Tamandua tetradactyla: one gene and its partner. The protein of the gene in region 1 interacts with the protein of each later gene in a biochemical or structural test. Links are inferred from orthologs where the notes say so. Each region holds a gene or a part of one and is shown on either strand. Other genes may lie near its edges. The genes, in order: MXD1 and MAX.

Region 1 (16,315 bases):
GGGCATGGTGGAGACAGAGAAGAGGTTGTAGGCTGGTTTTAATGGCTTCAAATTACCAAGGCCTGGTGTCTGAATTCCTTGATGGAGGGATTCCACCTGGGTGGGGCTTCACCCCTCCCCTGGGGAAGGCACAAGCTCCAGATAAGCCCCCAAAAGAGCTCACTTCTGCCTATGCCTGGGGCAGTTGCAGCCTGAAAAGTCCTGCCGCTGTATCCAGAGGCAGTCAAGCCTTTGTAGATACACAGCCACAAAAACCTCTGTTTCCTTATTTTTCCCCCCCTTTTTCTGTTAGTCCTGCCCCCTTGGTGCAGGGGCAAAAATGATCAACCTCTGCTTTGATCAGGTTCACCTAAGCTGGGGCCTATTTTTAGTAGTCAGAATTTGTTAATTAGTTCCACAATTGGCGTTTGATTGTGCCCAGTCCCTGCTCCTGGTTAAGTCCTTTCCTTTCCCCTCTGGGAAGCGGCCTGTGGGGGAGGGGCGCTGGCCACCGCAGCTTTGGGAACTCACGGTTCTGGGGGGGTGCTCCAGCCAGTCCAGCTGGTCCAGTCTGGGGTACGCTGTGTGTCCAGTCACTATCGTGGCTCCGGGAGCTGTTCTGTACTGTTTCTGGTTATTTAGTAGTTGTTCTGGAGGACGAACTAAAATGTGCATGTTGTTAAGCCGCCATCTTGACCTGGAAGCATCCTACCTCATTCTTAAATGAATCTGGCAGTGTATCTATAGGATCATACTCTCTGATCTAGACATTTAATGTATCATTCCTTTTTTTTTTTTTTAATGTTTCTTTATTGCTTTTCTCTAGGGTAAAAAGGTGGATGGCTCTGTCAATGCGTATGCCATAAATGTATCTCAGAAGAGGAAGTACAGGTATATAGACCTCCAATAATTATGTTTGAACTAATGATACAAATAGCATTCTTAAGAAAGAATTTCATTATGGGATAATCATGTTTGTAGGAATTGTAGCAGTTTTCCATACTGTCCCTTGTTTTACTAGAGGATTATCTTCCTTGCTTATATTCTCATGTATTAAAATTGTTTTCCAGTTTACCTGTGAGCTCATAAATAAAATAGAGAAGGGTAGTTGGCCTCAGTGTTTTAGGGCATAAGTAGTTATTTCCTCAAAACAGCACAATCTTAAGTCTTTCGACTCTAATTTTATCATAATTAGTAAAATAATTACTAATTTAAAATAGATCCCTCTTGAATTATTTACCAAGATTGATTGTGTAAAAACATAAAGTGTAAATATATTCTTCTATTAAGTGTAGGCATATTTTATTAGTACCACAGATTTGGAACACTCTAGACATGTTCAGACTTAACCTTTCTGTCCAATTTAACCACTGATAAAAGACTAGGATTCCAATTAAATAGAATATGAATAATGTGATTTCAGAATCATCATTGCCGGTCTTTTATAAAATTACTTTCAAATCAGGTCTTATGGGGAAACTCTGAAATCTGATTTATAACTAATTGTTGCAATATGCTTTTGAATTACTTTTTTTGTGTATCTGTTATTTTTCACATTAAAAAAAAAATAAGGTCCTACAGGGAGAACCATACAGTGAGTGGTTTAGTTTGCTTGATGGGTGCCTATTTTAGAACTCTTTTCTATTTCCTTAAGTTGAGTGTTACCTAAAATGTGCTACCTGAAGTGAATACAAGTTTTCAAATTTATTATTTTTTTAAGCATGTAGAATCTTCCCAAATAGTCTTGAAAGTTTGTATTTTGTAGTTTTAAAAAAATCTGAGGGCAGCCCACAGTGGCTTAGCAGACAGAGTTCTTGCCTGCTATTCCGGAGACCCGGGTTTGATTCGCAGTGCCTGCCCATGCAAAAAAAAAAAAAAAACAGATCTTTAAGACTTTGGCTTATTTCATTGGTAAAATATTCTCTTAATGTGCATTAAATAGCACTTGAATAGTTCTTACCCTAGACTTTGCCATTTTAAAGGTGGTTTATAGGTTTCATGTCTGAAGCATGTAATGATGTTTTCTTACAAGAGTCCAAAATTTTTTTTAATAAACTATGAATTGTCTTTTCTCATCACAGGCAGTACATGAATCGAAAAGGTGGATTCAACAGGCCTTTGGATTTTATTGCCTGAGAATTGAAATGTTGAAGAATGTTTTTTCCCTCATCTTGGTCAGAAGAATGGATTTTATATTGTGCATTTAGTTTACATCAAAAACAGGATCTCAGTTCTCCCTCCTCTTAAAGTAAGAAAATCTTATTTATGAAGTGTGCAGTTCACTTACCTGCCTCAAAAGAAGAAAAATTAAATATTACATTTTTTTCTTTTAGGAAATGTCATTTGGGTCAATCGTCAACCCCATTTTGTTTGTCCTTATTCCTGTGGAAGCTGTGTATGTTTTCTTCTGCTTGTTAGAACTTTTTAAAAAAACATGGAAGTAATTTGGATGTAAGTTTCTCCAATAAAGCAATATTTCTACTTTTTTGTATCTGTTAAATATTTTTATTACTAGGTAAAAACATCTCCCTAGACATTTTCTGTTTTTTCAGATATGGTTTTAGTAGTTTAAAAATTGGAAGAATGAAAAAGTATTACTTTGGAGTTTTATATCTCCTGTTTCCCCGCCCCTCTACCATTTATTATCTGTTCCCCCCTGCAATTATACAAAGCAATGCATACTCATTATTAGAAAAATAACTTGTGAGAAACCGAAAAGTAAAGTCAAAAATCACCTGTAATCTGACCCCCAGAAATAATTTGTGTTAATATTTTAGTGTATATCTTTCCAGGTTCTTGTGGGTATGCATGTATATTTCTTGCCCCTACCTATCAGATCATACTTTGCTGTTCTTTCTCTAACTTTTTACCCCCTCCTATTTATTGAGAACAAATTTTTTTACGCTCTTAAATAATTTTTTTAAACTTAGCTTTTAATAGTATTTAGTCGTACCATAATTTACTAAGTAATACTTATTAATGACCATTGCATTGCCTTCTATGACTTCCTATTATAATTAAAACTGTGGCTAGTATCCCTGTTATATATATCTTTTTATATCTATCTCCTCAGGCTCAACTCCTAGGCATTGTTGGGTGAGATAAAAGGGTGTATGTTGTAAAGCTGTTGATAGACGTGACTAGAAAGGTTATAGCCAACTCTTACCAGTAAAGTATGAGCATTCCCATTTCATGTATTTGTACCAATGTTGGAGATTGAATTTTTAAGAAGTTTCCAGTCTGATAGGTGAAATAATGGTAACTGGTTTTAATTTGTTTAATTTCTAGGGAAAATGAACAGTTTAAAAATGTATTAACTGGGTGGGCCCCAGTAGCTCAGCAGGCAGAGTTCTCACTTGCCATTCCCGAGACCTGAGTTCGATTCCCATTGCCTGCCCATGCCAAAAAAAAGAGTACTAAACATTTGTATTTCTTTTGTGAAATGATGATTCCAAGCCTTGGATCCGTTTATCTTGTGGCAAGCATTTATTTTTCTTATTTGAAGGAAGCTCTTGTTAATATTGAGGATAATAATCATTACCCATTTTTTTCATTTCTTCCTGGTATTTCAGGCTTCTGTAGCTGGATTTTAAATTTTCATATTTTTGAGTAAGTTCTACAAATACATGGAACATAATTCAGATGGTACAAATGGTATACAGTGATGAGCTAATTGTGAATCCTTTTAGAGATCCCACACATACACAAACATTATATATATGTTATTCAAATGAAAGCAGACTCTACACACCATTCTGCACCTAGATTTTTTTACTTACCAGTATATCTTAAGATTGTTATCAGTACATGAAATAGCCTCATTTTTTTAAAATATGTGATCCACTGTAGTATGGATTATAATTGATTAATCTCCTGTTGAAGGACATACAAGTTGTTTCTTATCTTTTGCTATGTTAAACAATTCTGCAAAGACTATCTTTTTACACATATGATTTTACAAGTCTTTGGCTAGATATTAAAATCTTTATTATACCTGAAATTTGACCACCCTATTTAAAACTTTCCTGGCAGATTAGTTGCCTATAAAGAAAATAATAGTAATATGACTGCATTGTATGGTGCAGTATATAAAGTGCTTTGATTATTTAATCCCTGTGAGACAGATAGAGCAGATAGTATTATCTCCATTTCCTAGATAAGAAAACTGAGACTTAGAGAAGATAAACGACTTGCCAAAATTCAGATCCTGAAGATCAATACTGTTGGCATTCTTACCAACTACTGCTTTCAGTGCTCACGTATTTGAATATGCTATATCATTTGCACAACTTGACGTTTCCATGGCACAAGTGTCACCACTCCAGGCAGGCAAATTATTTTGCTTGGACTTTTGTCAGTAGAGCTAAGTAGACTCCTGATGCCTCTACAACCACCACCACTACTGCCAAGTATTCTATATCTGTAAATCATCTGTGACAAGGACTATCTCACCATATTTGTGCATACTGAAGGAGCACAGACTCAATTGTTGTTTTAAAGGGTAGCTAATCAGGGATAAAATACTATACCCCAAACCAAATTATGTTTTTAGATTGTCATCATCATTGTGGTGGTAGTAGAAATTTGACTTAAGACCCTCAAGGCAGCATACTGTGTCAATAAATAATTGGAGAATACCTTGTAGGTCAATAGGTTTCCTTTCAAAGAGGAAATCTTTGAAAATCCAGAGAGAAGATACCTCTGATCTTAAGGGAAGTCTTAGTTTGCATGAACTTGTATCCATCAGATCATTTGATTCTGGAAAAATGACAAAGATGAAGCATCCTTGTCTTTCTCCTCTAACAAGTATTAGCTCTCAGAGGACATACATTTTGCCAAATCTTCTGTTTTCAAGTATCTAAATGTTAGCATGCTCCAGGGTTCAATCCTTGGAAACTCCCCGATTTCTCCCTCCGTGAGTCTTCCAGACCTGTAGCTACAAACATCTGCCTTCACTCTCAAATTTCTACTTCCAACCTGACCATTTTCCTGAATTCCTGTCTTGTACACCCACCCAGAAGATTAATAGGCACCTCAAATTTAAGGTAAAGTGAACTTTCATTTCCCTGTCCAACCTTCTCTGAAGATTCCCCCATTTCAGTAAGTGGCTTCTCCTTTCAGTCCTTTGCACAAACCAAAATCCTTGGAGTCATCCTCAACTCTTCTTTTACTCCCATGCTCCACATTGGATTCATTAGTGAATCCTTTTGGTTCTAAACTCAAAGTATATTTTAAATCTACTTTTCACCACCTGTACCACTACCACCCCAATCTAAGCCACCATCTTTCTCACCTTTTCTACTGCAATAGCCTCCTGATAAGTCTGTCCTTCTCCTGCTTTTGCTGCCTCGGTTTATGCATCAACAGTGGAGTGTCAGGTCACATTGCTCCTGTCTCCCACAGTTTTCCATCATTTAGAGTAAAGTCCAGTCCTTACTTGACTACAAGCCTCTATAAGATCTAGACCCTGATTCCAGCAGGCTCACTGTGCTCAGCCATACTGGCTGGCCACCTTCCTGTTCTTTGAGAACAAATGTGTCTCTTTCACAGTCTTTCCATTTGCTCCTAGAATTCTTCCTGGAATGTTCCCCTTCCTCCCTATATTCACATGGGTAGCTTCTTTAATCCATTCAGGCCTTGCTCGAACTGGGGTTATTTCTGACCACACTGTCCAAATTAGCAAATCTTTCTTCTATCTCCCCTCTTTTTTTTTAATATTTAAAAAATTAAGATAAAAATTCACAAATCATAAAATTCATCCTTTTAAAATATACAGTTAAAGTGGTTTTTTACTGTATTCACAGAGGGGTTCATCTATCACTATTATCTAACTCTGGAATATTTTTATTTTCCTTATCCTGAAAAGAAACTCTATATCCACTAGCCATCACTCCCCATTCATGTCCTCCCATCAACTCTTAACAACCCTGATCACCTTCCGACTCTATGGCTTTTCATATTCTGGACATTCATATAAATGGAATTATAAAATATATGGACTTTTGTGGCTTTTTTTCACTTAGCATAATGTTTTCAAGGTTCATCCACATTGTAGCATATATCATGGATGGATGATATTCCATTATATGGATATACATATTTATCCATTTTCCAGTTGATAAGACATTTCTATTTTTTGGCTATTATGAGTAATGCTGTTATGAACATTGATGTGCAAGTTTTTGTGTGAACACATTTTCGGTTTTCTTAGGTATTTACATAAGAGTGGAATTGCTGGGTCATATGGTAACTCTGTGTTTTAACTTTTTGAAAACCGCTAAACTTTTCCAAAGTGATTACACCACATTCCCACCACCAGTGTATGAGGGTTCCAGTTTCTCCACATGGTTTGCAAATCCTCCTTTACTTTTCTTCACAGGTTATACCACATAGCCTGACATATTCTATATCCATTTATTACTGTCTGGCTCTTCCACTAGACAGCGAACACTGAGAGGTGGGGCTCCTGTGTCATTCACTGCTGTAGCCCCAACATCACTCAATACGAGGCAAGTAAAGATTGTAAATATCGATTGAATTTGTGGATATAGTTTTTTTTACTTAACCATTTCCTCTGATTTTCATTTTAACCTTTAGCTACCCAGGTAATAAATACATTTTTTTTTTGTAAAATATTATGACAAAGCTAAGTCCCCTTTGACCTGCACCATAATCCTGATCCTATTGTCCCACTCCACTGTTAATCCTTTGCAGTGGATACTTCCAGATCTTTGTCTACACATATATGTATGTAACAGAATTTGAAATGAGGGATGCATAGTTTGGGTTTGCTTGTTTACATTGCATCACACTATAGAAATTATTTTACAACTGAATCTATGCCCTGAAGATCTTTCCATGCCAGGATATGTAAGTCTACTTCTTTTGGTTTTTAACTGCTACATGGTGTTTCATGGAGTGATATGCCATAGTTTACTTAGTCATTGCTCTATTTTTCAAATCACAAATATTTGTGGGGTGATTTTTTCAAGTATCATTTTTAAAGGCTTTAAAAACTTAGTATCACAGTATTGGATATCATGATATTGAAGTCTTCCAAAGTAGCCACAAAGAAAAGGTTTGGTATTAGTGAAGCAGAAATGTCCAGTCCTGATTTTTACACTTTGAATAAAAAATTTCCCCAAACACTTATGAAACAAAATTAATTTTAATGTCATAAGGTGTCAAAATCAGTAATAGTGTTTTAATTCCCACAGTTTGGGAGCTTTTTTGACATTCAAGGATTATGTTACTATTATTCCCTGCCACTGAGGTACTCATGAAGAGGTTCTCAGTAGAATTCCTCTGGCATTGAATAACCTGCCACACACTTTAGCTTGGCATTTACTTTTAATATACTATCCTCTGCCCACCTGGAGTATAAGCCCCTCAAAGAAAGGAGACTGAATAAATCTCTCAACCTTTAAAGAAGTACAGTGAAGTTTAGCTGACAAGTCTTTGTGCTTCCCCACTTTCAAATGGATTTATCAAATTCTATAAGTTTATTTTAATTTTATTTAATCAAAAATATAAATTATCTATCACCTGTATTTATGCTATTACATATAGCTTTTTACTTAAGAATTCTGTTCATAAAATTCAGGTTCAAACATTCTGGAATTCCCAACTTTTATTTTGGGGGTGCTGAACCCATCAGTCAATTCTTACTTAATGCCTCTGAGGTGCTAGGTGCAGGGGTTCATCACTTTTTTTGTTTTAGATTGTGGTTTTTTTTTTCAGTTCTTTCCTCAAAACTCGTACTGTCAGGAACAACTAAGTGGTCATTGTATACACTGTGAAAAATAATTTCTAAGGAAAAAAACCCAAACCTTTGTTTTATACTTACACTGCTTCACCTCCAGTAGGTGGCACCAAATACCCTTTGGAATTTTTTGTAATTCCTTCCTACTTTTGTGTTGCTGGCTAATTGTAATTTCTCCTGAGGCCACAGAAGAGAAACGATCCTTCTTTTAGTTTAGTACTCTGATTTTGATATAACTTAGTATTTTTGTTTGGAGTTTAAACTAGACTTTTGTTGGTGTTTAAATTATTAACTTATCTCTGACTCCAGATCTCAACCCTTTTCTTGTGTGAGTGTGTATGTGTGAGACAGAGAGATTCTTTCAATAAGGGGAAGGATAATGATGATGAATTACAACCTAGTTTAAATTGCAGTGCTGAGAGTAAGAGAGAAAGAGTAAAGAGATGTGTTGAAATGTTTATAATAAAATCAAAGAGAAAATATGAAAGTATAAAAAATCCAGTATGTTAAGATCATGAAATCAAAGTGTTTTTACTATTGTCAGTTTTGGTGCTTTGGTAGCATCACACCCATATAATTACAATTTTCAAATTTGTTTTACAAATAAGATGCAATTTTAAAAACTCTGTAAAACTGTTATATACCCATTTTCATTTCCAACTTTGTTTTATGCTTTCTTGAAAAACTTTACCTTCAATATGTATATTTAGTGTTTTCATGAAGAACCAGCTTTTAGATCCAATTAACCACTGAAACCAGGAAATGTTTTCTGTTTATCAGATGTAGTTTATTACATATTAATTCTGTTGAGTTCATTTAATTTTAATGGTGCCAATCATTAAAAAAGCAGCAAGTTAAAAATTTCTCGTCCTGATTACAGTAACTTTTTCTTTTTCCCCAGTGTTTCTAAGTCTCAGTGTTTCATGACTCAAACTGGAAATCTGTTCAACTGTCTTCCCTCCAGTACAGCCAGGACAGATCAGTAACCTGGTCTGGGTGAGATAGACAAAGTTTCAGTTTTCATCTCTGAGGCTGACTGGATGACTGGAAAAGTCACTTAGCCTTTCTGAGCCTCAGTTTCTTCATTTGCAAACTGTAGATAATTAAAACAACCTACCCAGGACTAGAGATAATGTAGGTAAATTACCTAACACATTAATAAGCTGCCATAATAATCCATGGCAACAATAAACTAAAAAAACTGTGAAATATGTTTTACTCATTTATTTTTTAATTTCAGGACAATTTACCAAGAGCTTAATTTCTGCCTTTTAAATTGGCGATGTCAGTATATTAACTAAGTAACTTGGGTCTCATGAGAGTTTTCACCTCAGAAATCCTTAATCTACTTTTTATTTCTGTCGCTGTACCGTTCTATTAAGCATTTATATGCCACCCACACACACACAAACACTGATAGCCATTTTCAAAAGGTAGTTTTGTGAATTTTTTCATCTCGAATTAAAAGGTAGAGACCCTAAAAGAGGTTTAAGTAAAAGAATCTCCGAGTTCAACGTTATTTTGTAAGCACAAGAACTTTCTCCACTTTTAACACCCACTCACGTGAGGGAGTAATTAATTATACCATCACTTCCCAGAAAAAAAAAATCTCCTCTGGCGAGGAGCTCAACGCCGGTTACACAGCCCGACTCTGCTGTCCGAGCAGAGGAAAATAGGGACCGCGAGCATTTAACGCTAAGAGGCGCTTCTCCTCAAACCCCACAGCCACGTGGCGCCCGCGGGGCCCAGAACCACCGCCTCCCTTCAGGAGGATTCGCGGCGGAGCCCTCGGCCGCCGGAAGTTTTCTCTGGGGACGGGTCTGGGCAACAGGTCGAAGCCGGGAGAGGGTGAATCAGCGTCGCCCAGCGCCCGGGCCAGCCTCGCAGCCGATGCAAGACCCTGAAAGGAATAGCCTGGCCGCTAACATCCAGCCACTCAGGGTTCGCCGGGCCGGGAGAAGGGTGACATCATCGTAGCTGGGAGGTTTCCGAAGGCTCCACCAATGGGAGACAGGCGAAGTAGCAACCCTTCTGTAGCTTTTGGCCAATACTAACAAAGCAAAAGGGGGCCCGGTTGTCGGTAGGGAACCAATGGAAAACAGGGAGGGAGCACGAGGCGGAGTTGCGAATCCTGTCACCAATTGGGGAGAGGGGGTGGAGCCCGGGCCTTGTCAAGCGTGCCCAACCAGCGAGAGGAGCGGACTTTGGGGGGTGGGGCAGACAGGCTCTCCCCCAATCGGACAAGGCTGGGGGCGGGGCATTCTTTGCGCTATCCAATGAGGAACGCAGCCGAAGCGGGCCTGTCAAGAGAAGGGGCTGGGGGCGGGGGGGATGGTGAGTCGGGGATAAACACTCCGCGGCGGTGGCGGCTGCTGCTCTTCTCTGGGTTCTGTCACGGTGTCGGCGGTGCCCAGCTCACCGGCCCCCTCCCCCCTCCGGCGAGCGTGGTCATCAGAGAGACCCCCTCAGGCCTGGTCCGCGGGACCCTCAGCTGGGCGCGGGTGTCGGGTGGCGCGGCGGCGAGCCCGTGGGCAGTGGGGGTTGGTCCCGTGGCTCCGGCCCCCGGTGCAGAATGGCGACGGCGGTTCGGAGGAACATCCAGATGCTGCTGGAGGCGGCCGACTACCTGGAGCGGCGGGAGAGAGGTGCACGGAGACGGGGAAGGGCCTGGCCCGGGCCGGGGCTGGGGGCCTGAGGGGACCGGCCGCGGGTCGGGGCTCCCGGCGGCTCCGGGGGTTGTTGGCGCGGAGAGCGCGACGGCGAGTGCTCCCAACCCCTCTGGTCTTCCCACGCGCGGTCCTCAGGGAGGCCACCGCTGCCCTGGAGGCAATGAATGGGGGTGCGAGCGGGGCGACCCCCCTCCCCGGGTCCCTAGCGCCGCCCGTCCCGCAGCCCCTCGCGAGTGGGGTGCCCGGGGGGCCCTCAGCCCGGCCCCTCGGGTTTACCTCACCCGGGTTCTCCCGAGCGGTCCCCAAGTGGGCCTGGCGCCCCGTCGCGCCGCCGCGCAGGAGGAGAGCCTCCCCTGCCCCCGGCTCACGGTGTTCTCCCCGCACCTTCCCGGAGGCTGGTCCGGCTTTTCCACTCACCAAACTGCTGGACGGGCTGAATGGGAGAGCCGGGCTCGAGGAGCTCAGCGACTTGCTGGGTCTCTCAACAATGAGCAGCTGGAATCCTCCTAACACCTGCTCCGAACTGAGGGTACTCATTCAATTAAAGAAAAAAATCATTGTTCTCAGAAGCCCACCTTGCCCCATTTAATTATTTCCACAATATTCTGTTAAAGAAAAAAAAATCGAAAAAGAAACACTGTGGAGGAGAGAGAGTATTGAATGTTCTGGGTTCATTCATTAACTGAATCCTCCGGTTTTCTAGAAGCTGAACATGGTTATGCCTCCATGTTACCATACAATAACAAGGACAGAGATGCCTTAAAACGGAGGAACAAATCCAAGAAGAATAACAGCAGTAGCAGGTAATTTGGTAAATATTTCTTTCTCTTTTAAATTATACTGTAGGTAACACAAACTGCAGGGTGTAAGTTGCCAGTTATGATTATAACCCTGTAAATACATTCAGTGGAGATCGTAATTCAGTAATGCACACATGGTCCTAAGCCACTGAAGGAAGCAGCCTTTCTGTTTGGATTGAAGGGACTGAAAAGAAAAGAGAAATGGAAACGTTTCCTATTTCTTTATGAGAGCTTTTTTTGTTCCCCCCTAATTTTGCTTTTCATCCCTTTTGGAACAAAAATCTGTGGAAGCTTCAAGTGAGATTGGCAACGGTGACAATATTTTGCTGTCAGATTCAGGACAAGTTTATTATAATTGAAAATGCTGGACATTTTCAGTTTCTTTTCCTAGTGAACATTTAAAACAGTTTAAAGGCTCTGACTTGGCATGGATGGTAGGATTTCATATTTCACATACAGATTAAATGCAGTGGTTTGATAATATAATTATATCTATAGCGACACGGAATTGTTGAGATTGAAGGTTACCTCGGTGGTGATGGAGAAACATATAATATTAAAATATTACTGTGCCACAACCCTTTCATATTAGCCTTAAAAACTGCCTTAATGACTAGGATAGAGCCTACAGTTTACCACAGATCATTGCATTTTTAAAACTTTTTTGTTGAAATTGTTAAAATACCTCTTGTTTAACAAATAATACTAAGTGCACATTTCAAAAGTTTATAGTGTACAGCTTGATACATTTTCAGAGGTTGAAAATGCCCATGTAGCCAGCACCCAGATCAAGAAACAGAAATGACCAGCCCCAAGAGGGCCCCTTTGTGCTCCTTACCATCACTACCCACCCACCCCAAGTGAAACAACTAACCTGATGACTAACAGCATAGATTAGTTTTGCCTATATTTGTACTTCGTATAAGTGAGAAAAAATATATTGTGCATTCTTAGGTGTGTCTGGCTTCCTTCACTCAACATTATGTTTGTGAGATTTATTCATGTTGTTGCGTATAGTTGTACATTATTCATTCTCATTACTGTCCAGTATTCCATAGTGTGATTATGTCTCAATTTATTTACCTATTCTAATGTTGGTAGGTATGTGGGTAATTTCTTATTTGGGCAATTACAATTAGCCCTGTTGCAAATCAACTAGTATTCATTTTTTTGGTAAGCATACAGGTGTATTTTTGTTAAGTATATTTATTACTGGGAGTGAATTTGCTTGGTCATGTGGTTTATATGTGTTCAACTTCATTAGATACTGCAAATACTTTTCCAAAGCGTTGATTAACATTGCATTTTATTTTTGTTTTACTCTGATTCTTATTCCAGTCAACCTTTTACATATCTCCTTTTCCTCTTGGATTTTTCTTTCAATGTTTAAAATAAGTAAAAATCAAATTTTTCTGAAGAAAAAATGCCTTACAGTTCTTAAAAGGTGTGAATCTCACTGGAAAGTATTTGGTTAATGGTCAATGAAATTACATATTAAAGTCGTAAGTATAGTTCTTGGCACATATAAATGCTTCATCAATACTGTTGCCCTTTCTTTCCCTTTTTGCTGTTATAATATCATTTGACTAGGAAATCTGTTCTAAAAGTTCCATTCAATTATGCCTTTCATGCTTGTAAATTAAAATAACTGACATTTTCTTCACTGGTTTAGAATCCTCGTCTTCCCCCATCCCTACTGCATAACTCCCTCCAAATAAATGTATTGGGTAGCCTCTGTGGCATAATACAGACCACTAAAAGCCAGGAGTTTCCCACTTAAACCCTAAAACTCCTTCTTGCTGTCTCTCCTGTCCTTATTTCACCCATTGTCTTTGGTGTTGGTGGAACCACAAGATGTGAGTAGCATACATATGCTGCCTTCTTGAATAAGAAGGATGAAGGATAAGCCAGGTGAAAACCAGGTGGTTTTTCCTTGCTTTGCCATCTTTAACATTACCTGACGAAGGAGGTAGCCAGTAGGTCTGTGCATGCAGAACTAAGACCCCTTAAGAAGAATGTTATTACTGGCTTGTATTATGTAATGGTATGAAAATGATTAAGCTATGTTCCGTTTTGTTACAGTATCTTTAAAATTTTGTTTGGAAGAACTGAGGCCTTTCAGTTCGTTTTTCTGGAAAAGTGTAATCAGTTTGTTGTTTTTATTGTTCATTCAGGCTTTGAGAGGCATTGTCCACTTTGATCTTCAAGGCTTAATACCTTAACACTTTCTTTTTCCTAAGTTTCACTGGGACATTGTGGAAGGAAGCTCATTCATTGGTGGGGAGAGGAAAAGGAGAGGGTGTTATTGAAGAAAAGTAACTTGGTCCAACAGGGTGATTAGGAAAGAAAAATGAGAGTTGAGAATTTCAAGCCAAGAAATGGAATTTTTTTTTCTGATGAGCATTAGTCTTGAAAAATGGCTGCAATTCCTGATTTTTGACAAAAGCTTTATTACTTCTGTTAATGGATTTGATTTGCTTTCCATGTTTAGAGATATGGGGCTAGTACAGTTGTCCCTAATCTTGACTAATACTTAATGTAACATCTTCAGTGATCCCTGAGAAGCCATGATTAAACCTGGAGGTGTTACCAAGTAAATATATGAAGCAAGAGCAGGTTGTTTTGTTGAAATGTGATTATTTCCTTCACGACCTGTTTGGAATAATCCTTACCTGAGCAGTGAAACATCTCAACAGAGAATGCATTTTGTACCTTTGATTTGAATTAGACTTACAACCAAGGCCATGTGTGGTTAGAATTCTGAACTAAGGCAAGGAATAAGGAAAGATTACTGCTGGCTTACTTAACCATTGGATAGCAGTTTATTCTTGTTAATTCAGGTTGAAATGTTGTACTATTTGCTTTAGAGTCTAGGGGGTATTTCCCTTGGACATTAAAAAGACTTAACCACATATCAGACTTCTTGGGAACTGAAAATGCAGATCCTAATCAAGTTTCTCCATTTGCTTGTTTAAAAAAAAAACAGCAAAACCAAAATCATAAATATTGATTGTTTTGGAATCATCCAGAGAACTGCTGGAATACAGGGAGATGGAATCTTTTTCTTTTCTACTGATTTTTAAAATCAGTTGCTAACTATTTAGAAGTGAAATCTAGAATGATCTAAAATGTGTTTTGCTAAATTAATAAGGCTAGTCTTGGCACTGATGTGAAAGAGGAAGTTTAAGACTTGCTACCAGTTTTTTTAAATGACAGTGGCCACGTAGCTGACTTGACATTGGGAGTGCTTTTGATCCCAAGGACTTCACCCATTTTTCAGATACTCTTAAATTGGCTTATGTTATCTTTTTTGTTAGAATACATTTTTAAACGGTAAAATTTAACCTTTATTAATGATTCCAGAATTAAATCCATTCAATAATCACATGGCAAATCTTTTGACACAAGGTATCTATGTATTAGAAGAACACTTCTAAAGCTTTAATTAAATCTAAATGTTACATCGATAGAGGTGGCAGGCAATCTCTGAACTGATCATTTTTAGAAGACCTGCTTTTTATTAAAGGTCAACTCAGTGTCAAAGCAAATGTACCTCAGTAATTACCAGTTATTAGGTATAACCCCCCTTAAAAAATCACCATGTTTTCAAAACTCTTTAAGTAAACAAATAAGATCTGTAGTTTCCAGAATTCTATCCAAAGCTTGAGAGGAATTGTGCTTCCTAAGGAATGTGTTTTAAAGTTATTTTCAAAGCATCCAGAATTTTTTGGTAAAATACCCAGTGTGTTATTTTTTTATTACCAGAGATAATGTTCCTTTCAACCTCTCTTTTCCCCTCCTTCTCTACTTCATTTAGCATGGAAATCTTGTCCATAGTTCAACAGGGAAATCTTGATCAGCTACTGTCATATGCTGTCATCCATTTTAAAAATCTGCCAGACTTTGAACTTGTTATTCAACAGGTTATTAAAGCAAGTGCCATGTGCTTTAAAACCAAAGGTTTGCAAGCAGGCCAGGTTATTGTTAATCCTGCTGGCCATTGCAGGAAGTAAAAGCCTTCAGAAAAATGTGACTGAAGAACACTGAGGAAGGGATGACCAAAAAAAAAAAAAACAGTTTAAAGCTTTTAAGTTAACCAGTTTTAACATCCACATATCCTTTATCTAGAAAATCAATATTCTAAATCTTAAATACTATCATTATTTTCTTGTAAGTTTCCCTCGGAATAAAAATATCAGTATCACAAGGGCCTGTAGATAAGAAGCTTTAGTGCTGGATTAGAAATTTCCGAATTCCAGAGCAACCCCTACCCCCCCAACCCCCCCACCTCACCCCCTGGCACTGGTCCCTCATGTGAGTAAACTTGGGCCTCCCTCATGTAAGCGAGTGGCTGAGCATTCACAAGGTAATGTTTCTCCATAATTACTGTGAGAATTTATCTCCTAGGCCCTTAAGGTTCCGATCACAGTCACGGCCCCACAGAATCCACAACCTGCACCAGGGAGTAATCTCCTGCGCTGGTCGGATTCCAGGGAGTTTCCTTAAGAAAGGTCAAGATTCAGCTCCTTTATAATGCTGGGAGTTTCCTTGAGCTCCCCAAGTAGGGAAGAGCTGTTTGAGGAAGGACACTATAGTGGCCATGTTGACTGACTTCTCGTGACTTTTGCAGAGACCTGTCCATAAATTCTTAGACCAGACCTTATGTTCCAGTTCAGCTATAAAAACGCTAATGTGATTTCACATCCACCACAGATGAAAGCTCTTAAATCACTTTACAGTTGCTACTTCATTGATCCATGCTTGTTCAGTAAATAATTGCCTATTATTTTTATTCCCATATTACAGAGGGGTTAACCAAAGACAGGATGGTAAACAATTTAATTTCTTCCACAGTACCAGTCAGTGACAAAGCTGGACTTCAGATTTCACCCACTACTGCTTTAACCAGCCAGTTGTCTTTATGCTGATCTGAGTTTTGGAAACTCCTTCCTAAAATCATTAGGTAGCTGTTTAGCAGTAGCATCTTTCAGGAGGTTGTATACGATAAGGCAGAGTGATAGGGATGGATTCGGTGGTTATTTTATCCATTTTAAACTATTTCCTGTAGTTAAACAACTTAACACAAAATTATGGTTTACTACACA
Region 2 (17,006 bases), on another chromosome or scaffold:
GACTTGACATCCAAGCCGCTTTTAGTCTTCCAATCCATGAACACGGAATGTCCTTCCATTTATTTAGGTCTTCTTTGATTTCTTTTAGCAATGTTTTGTAGTTTCTAACTAAAGGTCCTTTACAGCCTTAGTTAAATTTATACTTAGATATTTGATTCTTTTAGATGCTACTGTAAATGGAAACTTCTTCTTTGTTTCCTCTCAGATTGCTTATTAGTAGTATGTACAAACACTACTGATTTTTGCATGTTGATTTTATAACCCACCACTTTACTTGCTTGTTTATTAGCTCTAGTAGCTTTGTTGTAGATTTTTGGAGACTTCCTAAATATAGGATCATGTCATCTACAGATAGTGAAAGTTTTACTTCTTCCTTTCCACATGAATATCTTTTATTTCTTTTACTTACCTGATTACTCTAGCTAGAACGTCCAGGTTGAATAACAGTAGTGACAGTGGGCATCTTTGTCTGCTCCACATCTAAGAAGGAAAGCTTTCAGTCTTTCACCACTAAGTATGTCAGCTGTGGGATTTTTATATGTGCCCTTTATCATGTTGAGGAAGTTTCCTTCTATTCTTATCTTTCGAAGTCTTTTAATAAAAAAGCATGTTGGATTTTGTCAAATGCCCTTATTACATCAGTCAATATGATCATGTGTTTCTTTCCCCTTCAATTTTTTAATGTGATGTATTACATTCATTTCTTTTCTTGCTTTGAACCACCCTTGCATACCTGGAGTAAAAGCCACTTGATTATGGTGTTAAATTCTTCTAATGTGCTGTTGGTTTCAATTTGCAAGTATTTTGTTGAGGATTTCCTCATCTATATAGCATTACAGATATTGATCTGTAGTTTTCTTTTCTTGTAGCATCTTTATTAGGCTTTGGTATTAGGGTGATGTTGGCTTCATAGAATGAGTTAAGTTGTGTTCCCATTTCAATTTTTTTAAAGAGTTTGAGCAGGATTTATATTAATTCTTCTTGTACTGATTGGTAGAATTCACCAGAAGCCATCGGGTTCTGGACTTTTCTTTATTGGTAGGTTACTGGTAACTGATGTTCACTTTACTTGTGATTGGTTTGTTGAAGTCTTCTATTTCTTCTAGAGTCGATGTAGATTTTTCATGCATGTTCTAGGTTGCTAGCTGCCAAAATGTGATATGCTGGAAATGTAATGGCTTTTTAAAAGGGGAATTTATTAAGTTGATAGTTAACAGTCCTAAGACTGTGAAAATGTCCAAATTAAAGCAAGGCTATAGAAAAGTCCAATCTAAGGCACCCAGGGAAAGATACCTTGGTTCAAGAAGGCTGATGATGTTCAGTGTTTGTCTTTCATCTGGAAAGGCATATGGTGAGCATGGTGACATCTGCTAGCTTTCTCTCTAGACTTCTTGTTTCATGAAGTTTCTCTGGGGACATATTCCTTCTTCATATCCAAAGGTCTCTGGCTGTCTGGGCTCATGGCTCTCTTGCAGCTCTGTTATCTTCCCAAAAAATGTTTCTTCTTTTAAAGGAGTCCAGTAAACTAATCAAGACCCACCTGGAATGGGTGGAGTCACATCTTCCTCTAATTAATACCCACAATTAGGTAAGTCACATCTCCATGGAGATTATCTAATCAAGTTCCCAACCTATAAAGTGGATAGGGATTGAAAGAAATGGTTGCTCTCACAAGATTGAATTAGGATTAGACCATGGCTTTTCTAGGGTACATAATCCTTTCAAACCAGCACAGTGTGTTTCTAGAAAATTGTCCATTTCCTCTAAATTGTCTAATTTGTTCGCCGAAATACATGAGGTACATAAATATTTGTGATTGTTATTTCTTCTTGGTGAATTGCTACTGGGCCATGTCCCCCTTTGCTCATGGTAAGGTGGACTTCCATAGCCCTCACAATCCACAGCAGCCCACCAGGCATGGACAAGGCCATCCTGAAGCTGCTTGCCTCCTGGATGGGGGGTGAGCACTGGAAGCTATATGAGTTACTCACAGTTTTTCACAACAGTTTCTCAGTCTCTTAGTCCTGTTCCTCCCTGGATGTCACAGTACTGTCCTGGTCGCTGAAGCCCCAGAACAGTTGTTTCAGTAAGATTCTGCCTGTCAATTAGCTGTTTTAGAGAGAGGAGTGAGCCCTGAAACTCCCTATTCTGCCATCTTCCCGTAAAGTTCTCTCCTCCATCAACAAACTTCTGATGTATACTAGGAAACTAACCCTGACATTAATGAAGAAAACTTTGTCTGCTGGCTCTTTCTGACAAAAGCTATGAACAAAGGCCTTTGGTTTTCTGACAAAGGAGTCAAATTAATTCAAGGACAGGGTAAGGTATAGGCTAAACACAGATTGGCCCTTGACATTATTCACCTCCTCTCCACCTTGACCCCTAAATCCTCAAATTGGTGAAGTGGCATTTTGAGAATAATTCAGGGCTGGGTATTATTAGCAGAGACCAGCCTACCAAGCACACCATGTGGAGCAGGACCCAAACAGTAACCTCTTAATTTCCCATCAGCCCTAAGACGTTCAAATACAGGCTCTACTTAGCCCTCCTGGCAAAAGTGAACCATCTTCATGACTTTTTTCCAGGTATTTCCAGAATAGTTCACTTGTCCATGTGGTTTATAGACTATGACAGGATTGAAATGAACAATTCCTAGGTAGATACACAATACACCTAGCCATGCACCATGCTAGGTAGCAGGGATCTGACTAGGAACAAGGTGGGTAAGGTCTCTGTTTTAGTTTGCTAAACATGCCAGAATGCAATATATCAGAAACAGGTGGCTTTTATAAAAAGGATTTATTTAGTTTCAAGTTTACAGTACTAAGTCATAAATATGTCCAAACCAAGGCACTCAAAGAAGGATAACTTGACTCAGGAAAGGCTGATGGCACACAGAACATTTCTGTTAGCTGGGAAGGCACATGGCTGGTGTCTGCTGGTCCTCTGGCTTCCGGTTTCAAAACAGCTTCCCCGGGGGTGTTTTCTTTCTGCATCTCCAAACATCTCTGTTTGTATCAACTCTGAGCTTTTTCCAAAATGGTTCCCTCTTAAAGGGCTCTAGTAAGTAGATTAAGGCCCACCTTGAATGGGCAGAGGCACATCTCCATGGAAACCACCTAATCAAAATGTCCTACCCACAACCTCCATGGAAATAACTCAATAAAAAAAGATCCCACCAAAACAATAGGTCTGCCCCATTAGATTGGATTAGGAAAAAGAACACGGCTTTTTTGGGGTACGGAACAGTTTCAAACCAGCAGTCTCCAACCTCAAAGAGCTCACAGTCTGGTGGCGCCATTGTCAATAAACGAGTAAACACCAAATAAAAACAGGTGGTGATAAATGCTGCTGATCTTAGACAACAAACTACAATAGCCTCTCAGAGACAAGGTAAGATGACCACTTGCAGAGTTGGGAAACTGGAGTCCAGCCAGGTACTGCAAGCACAAAGATGATGCTGTAACCAGGAGGAGGCCACAAAACACCAGGGAAACCTGGGGATAGTGTGTGAAGGCAGGAAGTTGAGAGCTGAGGTCAGAGTGGTGACCAGGGGCTAGACCCCGTAGGCCTTGGAGGCTGGGTAAGGAACCAAGCCAAGATCCAAGTTACCATCTTAAACAATCACTCTGGCTGTTTGGGTGGGGATTGAATTAGAGTAGGGACAATGAGAGGTGGGAAACCAACTTCTCTAGCTGAAAAATGATTTATTAAATGCCTCCTGTGTGCTAGGCTCTTTAACTAAGATGAGGCAGTACAGACAGGAAAAAGTAAACTGAGCACAACATGTTCTGAAAATGGATTCAAGAGGCTTACAGTTAAGGGGTATTGAGGGGCTGGGGGAGGGACACTGCTGAGAGAGAAAAGGAGGATTGAAAGGTCACTACCAGTTTAGGTAGTTGGTTTAGGTAGCTGCGCAGATGGTGGCACCAATTTTGGGAACAGGAAGAGAAAAGACTGGTGGAGGATCAGGTTGGGGAAGGGTGGGAGGACTCAGGAGTTGTTTTGAAGAGGTAAGTCTGAGATGTTTAAGTGACTCTAAGAGACGACAGTTGTAATAGTTGTGAGGAGGGCTTTAAGAAGATGTCTGAATTAGAAGGACATCAACATATAGATGACAATGGATGTGTTCACCCGGAGGAGAGAATTGAGCTCCAAGGACTTGCAGCTCCAAGGACTTGCAATCAAGTAGAGAAGGAACCACTAAATCAGGCAGTGAGGTGGGAATAAAACCAGTAAGTGAAAAACTCTGTCCTAAATAAAGCTATCACAAGTAATGGAACTGATTCTTGAGGAGCTTACAGTGAATCTGGTGCGGGAGAGAGACGTGCAAAAAGGAAGTTACAAAACAGAACAATAAGTGCGTGAGAAGAGAAGTCGCAGGGGGTATGGGAACAGTAGATGGGTACTTAATCCAGCCTTGGAGAATCCAGAAAGATTTCTTGGAAGTGGTAACAGCTAAGCCCCAAAAGATGAGAAGAACTTGGGGGTGAGTAGGAATTGTTTTGGGGTAGATACTACTCAGGGCAGAGGGAGCAACATGTGGAAATCCCTGGAGGGAAAAGACAACCTGATCCTTAGAGGGGTGGGGGTGGAAAGCAAGAAATTCTGCATGGCTAGAATGTGGAATGCAGGAGCTGAAAGATGGGGCTGGCAAAGGAACTAAATCATGAAATGTCTCGAAAGCCAAGTTACAGCGTCTGGGTGTTATCCTGAGGGTATCGGGAGGTTTGAAATATTTTAATCAAGGAAGTGAACATATCTCATTCCTGATAGGTCGCTCTGGTTAAAAGGTAGAGAGTGGGCAAGAGAGGGGTGGGATTGGAAGCAGGGAGATTCTTTAGGAGTCTGCTGTCCAGGTGAGAGGTGGCAGAGGCCTGGCTGAGGCAGGAATTACAGTGGGGGATGAAAGGCTTGGAACCCAACAGCCTTGCTGACTGACTGGATGAGAGGTTAGTGGGTTAGAGAGGGGTTTGAGGGTTTAAGATTGCCAATAATTAACATTTTGGTCTACCACCCTGAATTTGGAACCACTTTAGTCAGACACAAGTCAGATAGATAGAGACAAAAATAGAAGCTTTAGTACTGATAAGGCTGAGTTGGCGAATGAGGTTTAACCTGTGGCTTTTCTGGTATTGCTCTCCTGGATGAACTGTACCCACCTAGTCCTAGCACAGCTGGGCAACCAGGCGTCCTCCCCACGGACAGACTTCTTGTATACAGGAGAGTAGGGGAAGTGTGTCTTAACAGCTCAGGGAGAAAAGGTTGAGCTACAGACAACCAGCTTCTCCTCTCAAACTCACCAAGCTGATGAGTCACTCCTCCTCTAAGGGAAAATAAATGAGGGGCAGAGGTGCTAGAAGTATTCCTCCTGTATTTCCCCTTCCCTCTCTGAAAATGTGAGAAAAGGAGGAAAGGGTTCCTGCTGTGCTTAAGGTCCTCCTTTTGCTCCTCGAGATCCCATCCCTCACAACGCCCAGGTCTGAGCTCCTGACAGAGAGCTCTCTCCACACACAGCCTCTGCTCTCCCAGTTCAAGAACCATGCCATCCCTTCTCCCCTACAGGCGTAGGCCTGGGAACAGAGTCCCAGTGGTATCGTACAAACCCCGGTCGTTTCTTTACCTTCTGCCCACATATTTGTAAATAACTTCTTTCTTAACGGCTCCTCCAATGAATCTAACTTAAATATGCCAGCTGGTTCCTGCTGGGAGCCTGGTGCTTACACCCTCCTCCCCCAAATAAGGAGAGCATGAGCATAACATGGGAAAAGGATGTGACTTTATGCCTAAGCACTAAGGCTTGAGAAGTTCGCTGGTTTAGAAAGATAATGAAATGATTAAGATAGTGGCTGTGTTTTAATAGCTCAACTATTTTGGCAAGAATGATACTGCTCAAAAAGGAAGAAAGGAAAGGAAAGGAAAGGAAAGGAAGAAAGGAAGGAAGGAAGGAAGGAAGGAAGGAAGGAAGGAAGGAAGGAAGGAAGGAAGGAAGGAAGGAAGGAAGGAAGGAAGGAAGGAAGGAAGGAAATCACATTTCCCAGAGATAATTACTATTAGTATTTTTGTTGAATATCCTTTTACTAACATCTCTCTACACATACATATATACTCATATATATATGTTCAATTTTCTGTGAATAGATCATCCTCCAAATATTGTGTCAAAACCTGCTTTTCTTCACTCATTAAGTCTTGACTTTTGAGTTGTTGATCGAGTAACCCAAGGAGATATATCCAGAAATAAATTGAATATAACAAACTAGAATTTAAGAGAGCAAAACAGCTTGGGGTCACCACATGAGAGATGGTTATCAATGCCTCAGGAGGCAGATCCTACCAGGCAGAGGGTCAGAGGAGAAGAGGTAAGGGCCAGCCATAGAGCCCCTGGAACTCGCCACTGACAGGGCAAGAAGAACCAGAGGATGGGAACCAGAGCAGCCAAGGAGAGAAGCAAGAGAGTTATTGGCCTTCAAGAAAAAGAAACGAAAAAAAAAAGAAAAAGGAGTGGTCAACATTGTAAAAGGCCACCATTAGGTCAAATAAGATAAGGGCTTTGGATTTAGCAATAAAGAGGTAGCTGTTGGCCTGGATAAGAGCAATTTTAGTTAAGTGATAGATGGAAGTCAAATTGTAAAACAGCTGAGGAGAAAATGAAGGCAGTTTCTCCGTCCCCCACACTCAGTGCCCCCCTCTTCCCACGTCAGAGCTAGTTGAACTCTAATCTGTATCTGGTCCATTGAATTACGGACCACAACTTAGACATGTTCTTGGGCATGATCTGCATTCCTGTGGGTGTGAACCCACTGTAAATAGCATCTCTTGAAAATGTTATTTTATTTAGGGTGTGGCCCAACTGAATGAGGCTGGCCTTAATCCTGATTATTGTAGTTCATTAAAGGCAGAATGAAATTCAGAAGTAGAGAAAAACACAGAGAGGAGCCAGATGCCAAAAGTCAATGGAAGCAGAAAAGAAAGGAGAGGACATCACATGTGACACAAAAGCCAAGGAACCCAAGGATTGCCACCACCAGAACGCTACCACCCCAGGAGGAAGCAAGACTTCCCAGTCTCCAAATGAGAGATAATAAATTCCTGTTGTTAAACCAGCCCTTGTGTGGTATTTTTCTTAACAGCCAGGAAACAAAGACAGTGCATATGGATCACCTGAGCATTTTATTAAAATGCAGATTTGATGTAGGAGATCTGGGATGGAGCCTAAGGTTCTGCATTTCTAACTAGCTGGTCCATAGACCACATTTGAAGTAGCAAGGGACTAGGGAAACTGGGCTATCTATCCAGTGACAAGCTCCAGTCTTGATAAGCTCCCATAGAGCATCACCAAAGAAATTCAAGTGTGCAGAGATGAAAATGCATCCTTAGAGTTCTACATTATTATTCACATCAGAAAAACACTGAAAGGGAAAACCAAAGGAAACTTCTCTGTATTCTTACTTCTAATGTCTTCCCGCATATGTGCCTTGCTCATGAAAGTCCCTCCAACAGAGGAATTTAAAAGTGTTTCTTAATTTCCAATCTTATGAAGGTTTTCTAGTTTATTGTTGTTTTCGTTATTTCTAGTTTAAGTGCATTAGGTCTGAAAACATGCTAAGATCGCAGACCTTTGAAACTTAAGATTTGCTTTATGACTTGTCAATTTTTGTAAATAGTCCATGAGTATTTAAAAAGAATAAATTCTACAATTGTTTGGATGCCAAGTTTTATGCCTATTAAGTCAAATCTATTAATCAGGTTGACAAGTCTTCATATTTTAAACCAATTACTAAAAAGGAGATATGTTCAAATCTCCAGTCTCTCTACCTGGAAAGTCTTTCCTCCTCAGCTCTTCCTAACCCCAAGCATCCACCCATCAAATAGGGATTCAATGGTGAGAAAAATGTGATCCAGTCTCTGAGAACCCAGTTCTTGCTCTGATGGAACTGTCTGACAGCCTAAAACCTCCCTGACCATCCAGAACTTCCCACTCTCACTCCAGATCTGGGAGTATTTCTCCATCCTCTGAGAAAGTACGGCATTCACTACCCAGTTCACTAATTTGGCACTTAAATAATGTCTTCATTGCAACAGCTGTTCATAATTTATTTCCCTATCAAGTTTTAAATTCCAGGAGGGCAAAACTATTTTATTTTTTTATTAATAGATTTAGTGACATAATTTACATACTATAAAATTTGTGCTTTAAAAGTGTATGATTCAGGGTGCATGGGTGGTTCAGTGGTAGAACGCTCGCCTTCCATGCGGGAGACACGGATTTGATTCCTGGACCGTGCACCTATAAAAAAAAAAAGTATGATTCAGTGGAAGACCATCTTATTTGTCTTGGCACCCTCTATAGCAGAGGTTCTCAGGCTGAGAGGTAACACTGGAAACACCCAAAAGCTGACTTAATTAACTTGGAGCATGGCCTGGCCATGGGGATATTTAAAAGCTCTTGGGGTGATTTTAGCAGATTGTCACGGTACAAGGGTTAAGAATCACTGCCCTATAGTGCTTGCACATAGCAGAGACCCGAAAGTGATTTGTTGTCACCTTCAATTAGTCCTAGCTTCCAAAATTTAATTAACTCACCCAAGAGCTATCTTTTTTATCAGCTCTTACCACATAATGGTCTACTTATGCCTGTCTCCCTTAAGAGTTGTGCAAGGAATACAGTGTGAAAGGAAGACAAAAGCATTAAGAAAAACTAAGTTTACTTGTAAATGATATGCAGACTTCAGTAGAATGGATCATTGAACAAGAAATACGATAGATAAAGGAAGTGTAAAGGAGAAATTGCCACATTGACATTTGCCTTTTCAGCATGGATGATACGCTCGCATGGGGAGCCTGAGTCTCACATTCAAAGGTCAAGGGTAAAATGGTTTTTATTAGATAATTAATAATCTATGGGAAATGCTCAAAATTTTATTCATTTTGGAGATCTATGTACAAGAGTAGTTCGGTAATTTTGCTTATCTCAGGGTGGAAAGTGTCTTTCCAAATTGTTTTTTTCTTCCTCTTTACAATGGTGGCAAGGCAGTCTCATTTTTGTTTCCACATCTGTGAGCGGCATTATAAAGATCGTTCCGGTCTTTAATATTATGGCATTCCCATGCTGGCACGTGTTAGGTGTTTAATAAATTACTGGTGGGATGGATGTGATCACACCTCGCACACATTTAAATATGATTTTAAATGGTTTTGAAATTCTTAACTGGGCACTCCCTAAACTGCCTGACTATAACAAACTCAAAAGGGGCTTTTACTTCCATGGAAACAATTGTTGAGAGTCGGAGGTCTGAATGTATGAGCCTCACGTGAATAAAAAGAATGGTCATTCCTGGATGGATGACTACAAGATTCCCGTGGCTGCAAGCAGTCCCAAGGCTAAGCAGTCATCCTGCCCGTCCCTATAGCACCACTTAAGACCTTCCATTGACAGCTCCTCTCCACAGCCGCATCTTGGAATCAGCGTGGGCGTCCGAAATCGCGCCGCCTAGCCCACAGCAGCAGGATTCCCTAAGCAGGCGGGTTACGCCCCAGATATCAAGACAAGTAAAATAAGTCGCACCAAGGAGAGGCAGCGTGATTTGAGGAGCCGGCTTTTCCTCAAGCACCTCCACGGTGTTCCCTGGACCCGGCGCCCTGAACTCAGACGGCGCCCAGCTCCAGCAACCCTCGACCCCTCCACGTGTCCTCACTTCCCAGAAGCCTCCTCTGCTGCCTTGGGAGGAACCCTCCTGACAACTCGCGGTCTGTGGACTACGACTCCCAGCAGGCACCGCGCCGCTTCTCTCTCCGCCCCCTCAACGGGACACGCAGGCGCTCTGGGCCCCATCAACAAGCCGGGCTGGCGTCGACTTCATGCAGTGCCTGACGGGATTTGTAGTCTTTCTGGCGCCGGCTGGGGGGGTCAGTCAAAGGGACGAGAACTACAAGTCGCGGCGGCCCAGACGTGACGAGCTCGGTCACGTGGCAGGGGGCCGACCGGGCGTGCGTGCCGCCGTTGATCTGGTGCTGCAGTGAGGAGGTGGTTCTCGCCCGTGTTGTGTGTGTGTGTGTGTGTGTGCGTGTATGTGAGAGAGAGAGCGAGTGAGTGAGTGAGTGTGAGTGTGTGTGTGTTGTGTGTGTGTGTGGGGGGACTCGGCTTGTTGTTGTCGGTGACTTCCCCCTCCCCTCCACCCCTCCCCCTTCCCCGCCGCCGCTGCAGTGGCCGCTCCCTGGGCCGTAGGAAATGAGCGATAACGATGACATCGAGGTGGAGAGCGACGTGAGTCCCGGGGTTTCTTCCTTCCCGGGCGGGTTGTCAGGCGGGGACAGCAACCGGGGCTTTCAGCCGGGCGACGGCGGGAGGGGGTCGGGCCGCCGCCTCCTCCTTTACCTTCCCTTCCGGGCCGGGACCGCTTCTGTCGCGCTCTGGGCTCACTCCTCTTAAGGCTCCTGGCCGGAGAGGCCTCTTGGGACTAGAGATGGGAAGGTAGACACGCGGCGTCTGGGACCCCCACCTCCCCTCGTGGATGAGGGTGCTACGGCCGCCCGCTCCCAACCTATCTGGTTCAGGATCCAGGGAACAGGGATGGGGTGCTCCTAGGATCCTATTGTCCCGATCCTGGGGAAGAGCACGGCGCTCAAGACCTGCACCCTCGGTCTGCGATCCCTTCCTCGTGACCCTCGGATCCTGGAGAATGAGGGAGGGCGGAGAGGGGTTGGGAGTGCCCAGATGCCCCGAGCTGGGTCCAGGGAAGGAGAAAGTGCTCAGGACCGCTCCCCCCCCCCCCCGACCCAGGTTGGATCCCGGAAGGAGGGGCGGTGCTCGGGACTCCCCCGGCCCCACTACCGGATCCCGCTGATTGGGGAGGGGAACGTGGGGGGGGGGAAGGGGGGTCGGACTGACTCCCCACCCGCCGCTTCCTCTGCCGCCGGCATTTTCTTTCTTATTATTGAATGTGAAGTGTAAAAATAACTTCTTTATTTTCTATTTTTTTCTCTCTTATTCCAGGAAGAGCAACCGAGGTTTCAATCTGCGGTACGTCTCCTACTCTCCATTTCATTTTCATTTCCGTTCAGTTCTAATCCTTTTGGGGTTAGAGAGAAAAATATCGTTCTATTACTTTTAATATTTAAGTAGCCTCTCCTGTTAACCACTAAGGTGAGGTGGGGCCTTGTTCTGGGGTTCTGAATGTGGGGGGAGGTTGCAAATCTCTTAATTCTAGATTCTCAGGTAATAGGTTCCAGTGACTGTAGGTGAGTGGGAGCAGCTGTATGCAAAGAAAGGAATTCTTTCTGTAGCTTTCACATAGAGGGTTTAGTTGACAGAATGTAAGTTGGAAATGAGAAACACTGCTTTCAGCATTCTGAAGTAAATTGTAGGATTATTTCAGGGGAATGTGGTCAGAAGATTTACTTAGAATAAGTAGTATGCAAAACTATATCTGTAGAGTTGTATGAAGCTGAAGCCACATGCAAGTTACCTTAAGTCATGTGACTGTTACAGACTCATAGGATTTAGCACAGCATGATACAAATTGGCAGTGTTCTTAAAAGAGCTAAAGCTTGAGTATGAAAGTGGCACATATAGTTGATTGTGGTCTAACTCTTTTTATATTTTAGTTGAAGGAAAGGTATAAAGAAAATACCAAAATTGTTGAAGAGAGGTGGTATTGGGGAGAAAGGTTTGCTAAGAGGTGATGGATGAGACCACACAAAGTATTATCAATAATTTCTCAGGGCTTTGATATTTATGTTCTCAGTTCTGTAAATTTAGATAGACAGTACTCTCACGTTGGAGAATGAGACAGTACTGTGGATATTCTATGAATAGATTAGAGAAAGAAAAAAGGAAATAGACAAAAACAAATCAGAATCAGAGAGGGGAAGAGAAATAAGGATAACAAAATCTAATTAAAAGTAGGGAACAATAAGAAGTGTATAGAAATGCCTGTGGGAGTCAGGCAGTGAGATGGTCAGGATAAAGTGGTAGAAAGAGGGGAATAGTGGAGCACATACCTCTCCTAAAACGGTGCTACTACTCACTTCCAGTAGATTTTTACCATGTGGGATAAGGGTTTAGTGTTGCCAGATTTTCCTGTATTTCAAGAAATATTGGAGATCTGTACTTTTATGCTGTTTCTCTGATTTTTAAAATGATGTGTGTGGAACAGTCAAGCTGTTTGGGGCTGGTTAGGGTTTGCAGGAGGCCCTTTTGGTACCAGTGGTATATGAATTTAATAACCACAGAATAAAGGAAAGCATTCTTACGTGTACCAGCTCTTCATTAGAGCAAACAGATCTTGCAGATGGTCTAAGCAGAGGGGCATTAGGAAAAATTTTATTTATTGAGAGCTGATAGTTCCTTAAGATCTAAGGATGCAGTTGTTCCAGAAGTCCTAAAAATTGTTCCTGGGTAATAGTCACTAAAAAAAATTTGTTTTGCTTTATTTTTCTTTGAAGCTTTGTCACAAACATCTATTTATACATGAAATAGAATTTGAAAATTGTATTCCTTGTTTTCAATTATTCTTCTTAATAATGTGGACAATTCTATTTAAAATATTTTTTTTTCTTCATAATTATTGTAAGAGCTACCTCAGGGCCTGATTAGGGTCAGAAAGTAGTGATTGGATAGAGCTCTCATAAGCCCTCTTGCGCAGATTCATCCTTTGAATTGGAATTTTTTGGCTTTCTAGTGAGAATAAAGTTTTCTTGGTGAGATTTCAACTTACACTTCTTGAGAACTTTCCTCTTTTTATAGTATTCATCCTCATAGGCTTTGATGTAAACTGGTATATGAAGTTACTGAAATGTTTTCCATAGAATGCTAATCTTCATTTTGCCTAGATGTTTTAATTTGGTGTTAAGGTGACCTAAGAGTTTTCCCTTTTAAATATTACCTGTCACAAGATCATCACAACAGCATGGAGAAAAAGCAGACATGTTAAGGATGAATTTCGTAGTATCTCAAATAATATTGTGAATGGGTAGGGTAGAAAAGGATTCTTCTTCTTCTTTTTTTTTTTTTTGCTTTGTGAATTCATCTCTACTCCCTGAGACTTAGTATAGATAAGAAATATATTTTTAAAAATTGGGAGGGGAGGCTGGCTATTCCTCAGCTTTGCGTTAGGAAAAATGTTCAGAAAAGGGTGTGGACTGAACAACCAAGTATTTAGGACTATAGGAGAACTTTTAAAGTTATTTGAAAAGGTTCTGTGGGTTATAATATAAAAAGAGACACTCATTCATGTTTTATAGCCTCACTACAGTAATTGCAGCCTTACTACATGAGAAATGTAGGATAATCAGCTAGAGCAGACTTAGGAAATGAGGCTAACTGAACAGAAAGTGAAACTGATTTGACGAATATATTTTTTTGTTGCCTCAGTGCACAAGGAAAACAGCTTCTCCAGTGACCAGTAGGCTTTGTTAAAGGAAGTAACCCGAACAGTATTTTTTATTGCTAAATTCAGTACATCACAGAATTCCACTGATGTTATTTTATTTATTTTTCGTTTGTTTGGAGAGAAAGATTGCGTTTTAAAGATAAATTTCTGAAACAGGTATATTTTTTGCAAGGAGTTCTTTATTTCTGTTTGTGAAATTGTCTGTTGGAAAGAATGAAAGTATGTGAGACTTCTGTAGGCTTAGTGTGTGATCAGAAAACCAAAGGCCTTTTCCAACATATTGTTCTTCATAGCAGCTGATTGCATTGCAGTTATAGTATGCTGGTTAGGATTTTAAAAACAGTATTGTGTAATTCTGCTTCTGGACATTTCTGGTATGAAATATTTTTAACTTCCAGAATTCTTTGCTTCTTTAGGAATTGCAGTGTATTCAGAACGGGATGAGGGGTCACTTCTGAGATTGAAATTCACCCAGGAAACTACTGTTTATTTTACCTGGAATCAGTTGCATGGCAAAACTGTGGCACCATGTACATACTTTATCTCTGCTTAGAATGTTGACAATGATGCAAAAATGTCAAGTTCAGTTCCTTAATATGTCTCTTTGTCAGAATAAAGGGTGTTCTTAAGTTTTAAAAAGCCTTTTTTTTTTTCTTAAGATACCACTAATGCTGAAATAGTTGATCAAGGAATCCAACTTGTTTTTAATTAACATTTCCTAACCAAGGCATCCTTCCTCTTAAATGGGTATCATATGATGACATATTTTGATGATAGTCTTCCCAGGTTCTCTTAGGCACCAAATGATAGAAAAAAACCTGAAAACAAACTTATTTATTAGATGATGATGGAAATATATACCAGGTAATTGGCTTCAAGAAGGAGAGGTATTGGGAAATTGAAATTAATATTTTCCTGTTAGGGCTGAGTATGAGTTCATCTTATGTTAGCTGCCCATTATTTCATGTTGCAATTTTCATGTTTATTAAAAGGAATGTTTTAAGTTGACTTAGAAATTGTTTTATTTATTCTGTCTGGTTCTCTTTATCAGATAGAAGTAATAAATTATCTTTACTGATGAGAATTTTAGGCCTTTGTGCTTCCAGTTTTAATGTTGTTAGTGTTTAATAAGCGCTTGATAATAATCATAAACAACACTACCTTCCCTCTAAAATGCAACCTTTAAGTTTCTTAAAGGCAATAAATGTTTAGTGTGCAAGTACAATTCTTTCTGTGCTGAGAATTTTCTGTATTGGAATTAAGAGATTCTCCTTATAGATGGGGTTAGGTATCAGGTAGCCTGAGAGAAATGTCATTGTTCTGGAAAAACTCGTGCATCCATGAAAAATGAAACATTTATTTCCCCATGCTGTTTGCCCAGAATTTGCAGGAAATAAGACTGCCATCTAATATAATGACTTGAATGAAGATGTATTCTCTATGCAGTAAGTTGAAAGGAAATAATTTAAAGAGATATCCCTCAATTTTGAAGAGACCTCCTTAGCTTCGATGATCTTCTGCCAGTTTAGCAGCGTCTTGGTTAATAAAATAATGTTTGCCTTCAACATTTAACAACACTTAAAATATAAATGCTTGATAGTGTCAAAGATGGACAAATTGTAGGTGAAGATTTTTATTCTGGCTGCCAGTGGGAAAAGCTTAATGGAAATAAAACTGAGAGATTTGATAAAAACCTTGGCAGAGATGTTAAAGCTGGAAGCGATTTGGTGCAGGAGTTCCTGTTGAGCATCTGTGGGCCACTCCTCAGTATCACGCAGCCCTTTAGTATTTCTATTAGCCTGAGATGCCCTGAAGATAGAGTTTTCTGGCAGAAACTGCAGATCCGTTCTACTTGAAGAGCGGCAGGGTTCCAGCCATTTGCCCCTATAAGATATGTAGAGGAGCTATTTGGATGCCTGCTCTATATCCCCAGGATAACTCTGTTTTCTCCTAGAATTGTGCCTCAGTGCCTCATTAATTCTACAAGTGTACTGTCAGTACCACCTGCTCTTTCATTATCAAAAATCTTTCTCAGTATAGGCTCCTCTGAGTTGAGCTTTGTTTATTCAAGACACAATGTTTGACCGTTTCCCTTTTGTTTAATTATTTAATTTATTTTACCAGTTTTGGGTGTGTGTGGGGAATCTCAGATATTGCACACCGAGTGTCTTCATCCAGTTTATCTTCCTCAGCTCTGAAATCTTGGCCCCTTCAAAAAGAATTGCCAGTAAGCAAAAACAGTTACAAAGCAGTGATAAGCCTGGCACCTGGCCTTCCATTTGGATGAATGGGGGGGGGCAGGGGCAGAGGTGGGGGAGGCTGGAGGAAGGAGGCAGAGTTATTGGGCTGGTTGGATCTGTGGTTTGGAAACGTTTCCCCAGACAGTACTCTCAGCCTTGTGTAAAGGTTTTTCATGCCACTAAAGGTATCGTTCAGTTCAGAGTTGCCTGGAATTAGGCATTAGTTCTGCATATTTCTAGCTTGGTCTTTCAAATGAGGATTAGGCAGGAGGAGACTTCATCCTTGCCATCATCTCCAAGAGCTTTAAAATGAACTCTGTTTAGGCGTTGCAGCTTGGAGATAGACATAGCAGCAGGGATTGGTCTAAGATTCCACTCTTCTAGTTACATTGGGCCTGGAACCACCACAGAAATTCCATCCACTACTTTGAGAACATCATTCCCTAGCCCAGGCTTTCTACCACGCAGTGAACTGCTGCCTTTCCTTGTTGAGCCAACTTCTCAAACTTGGCTGGCTCTCCAGATAAGCAGCCAAGATTTCTGCTGATGGTCCACAGCCAAGTTCACTTACAGTCCTCTAACCAAAAGGTTTGTTGTCCATTTGAGTCCTTTCAGGGCTCAGTGAATGGGAAGGGGGTAGTGCATTATGCAGATGATTTCAGTGCTAGATTATACTTCGCCCCACCCCTCTAACCCAGGCTTCATTGAAACCAAGTCCAACTTGATTCTAGCTGTTGGAGATTTGCAGGGCTTTCCCAGAAACAAAACAGACAATTAGAATTTTATTTTATCAACAAGAGGGATTATGGGTAACTGGTGTCATTGCTTCTGTGCACAGCTCTTAAGCTGGGAGGAGGGCCAGAATTCAGGGTGATTTAATAGACAGGAATATCTGAGACTGCTGCTGGACACCAAAGCTGGGTAATTAATTTACATGTAAATAAACCATCTTAAGGGAGTATATAGCAAACAGGAGAGTCACATACATGCCAAATTGTTCTGCCTGAACCTTCTAAGCTCTTTATAGTCCAAGTTAGAACCCAGACCAATTTACCTGTGTATAGATGACTAGAGAAAACAGTAAGGTAGAAAAGGACTAGGTATTTAAATATGTTTTATTCCTTCAAACTATCTCATGCTGCTATTAGAAGGCATCTGCAGTTTTCTTGCTATGATGTATGATACACGGTAGCTCTCTAGTCTCAATTTATCAAGTATTTCAAGCTTGATTGTCCTTTCATTTCCTCATAATATTTAGTGTATCACTGTGGTTCAGCAGGTACATTGTACAGTGAAATCAGACTTAATAAGAGAAGACGAGCTTTAGAAATGCTCCAGGTCTCTGCCCTGGAGAAGAGTGTATGTGATAAAG

The links.
Region 2: the proteins of MXD1 (region 1) and MAX form a complex in vitro, tested with the Homo sapiens proteins (4 studies listed by BioGRID, with this or other methods). The link is inferred for Tamandua tetradactyla from reciprocal best matches to the Homo sapiens genes MXD1 and MAX.

The regions. Positions count from the first base shown.
Region 1 is NC_135343.1:43,425,732-43,442,046, forward strand, and holds the start of MXD1 (max dimerization protein 1), read left to right. Parts: upstream 1-10,058; 5' UTR 10,059-10,313; coding exon 10,314-10,386; intron 10,387-10,730; exon of another isoform or gene 10,731-10,939; intron 10,940-11,113; coding exon 11,114-11,213; intron 11,214-16,315. Other genes in the region: SNRNP27 (U4/U6.U5 small nuclear ribonucleoprotein 27 kDa protein), read left to right, coding at 806-870, 2,061-2,115. UniProt on the Homo sapiens protein: Component of a transcriptional repressor complex together with MAX. In complex with MAX binds to the core DNA sequence 5'-CAC[GA]TG-3'. Antagonizes MYC transcriptional activity by competing with MYC for MAX binding.
Region 2 is NC_135338.1:22,364,746-22,381,751, reverse strand, and holds the start of MAX (protein max), read left to right. Parts: upstream 1-9,932; 5' UTR 9,933-10,231; coding exon 10,232-10,267; intron 10,268-10,996; coding exon 10,997-11,023; intron 11,024-17,006. UniProt on the Homo sapiens protein: Transcription regulator. Forms a sequence-specific DNA-binding protein complex with MYC or MAD which recognizes the core sequence 5'-CAC[GA]TG-3'. The MYC:MAX complex is a transcriptional activator, whereas the MAD:MAX complex is a repressor.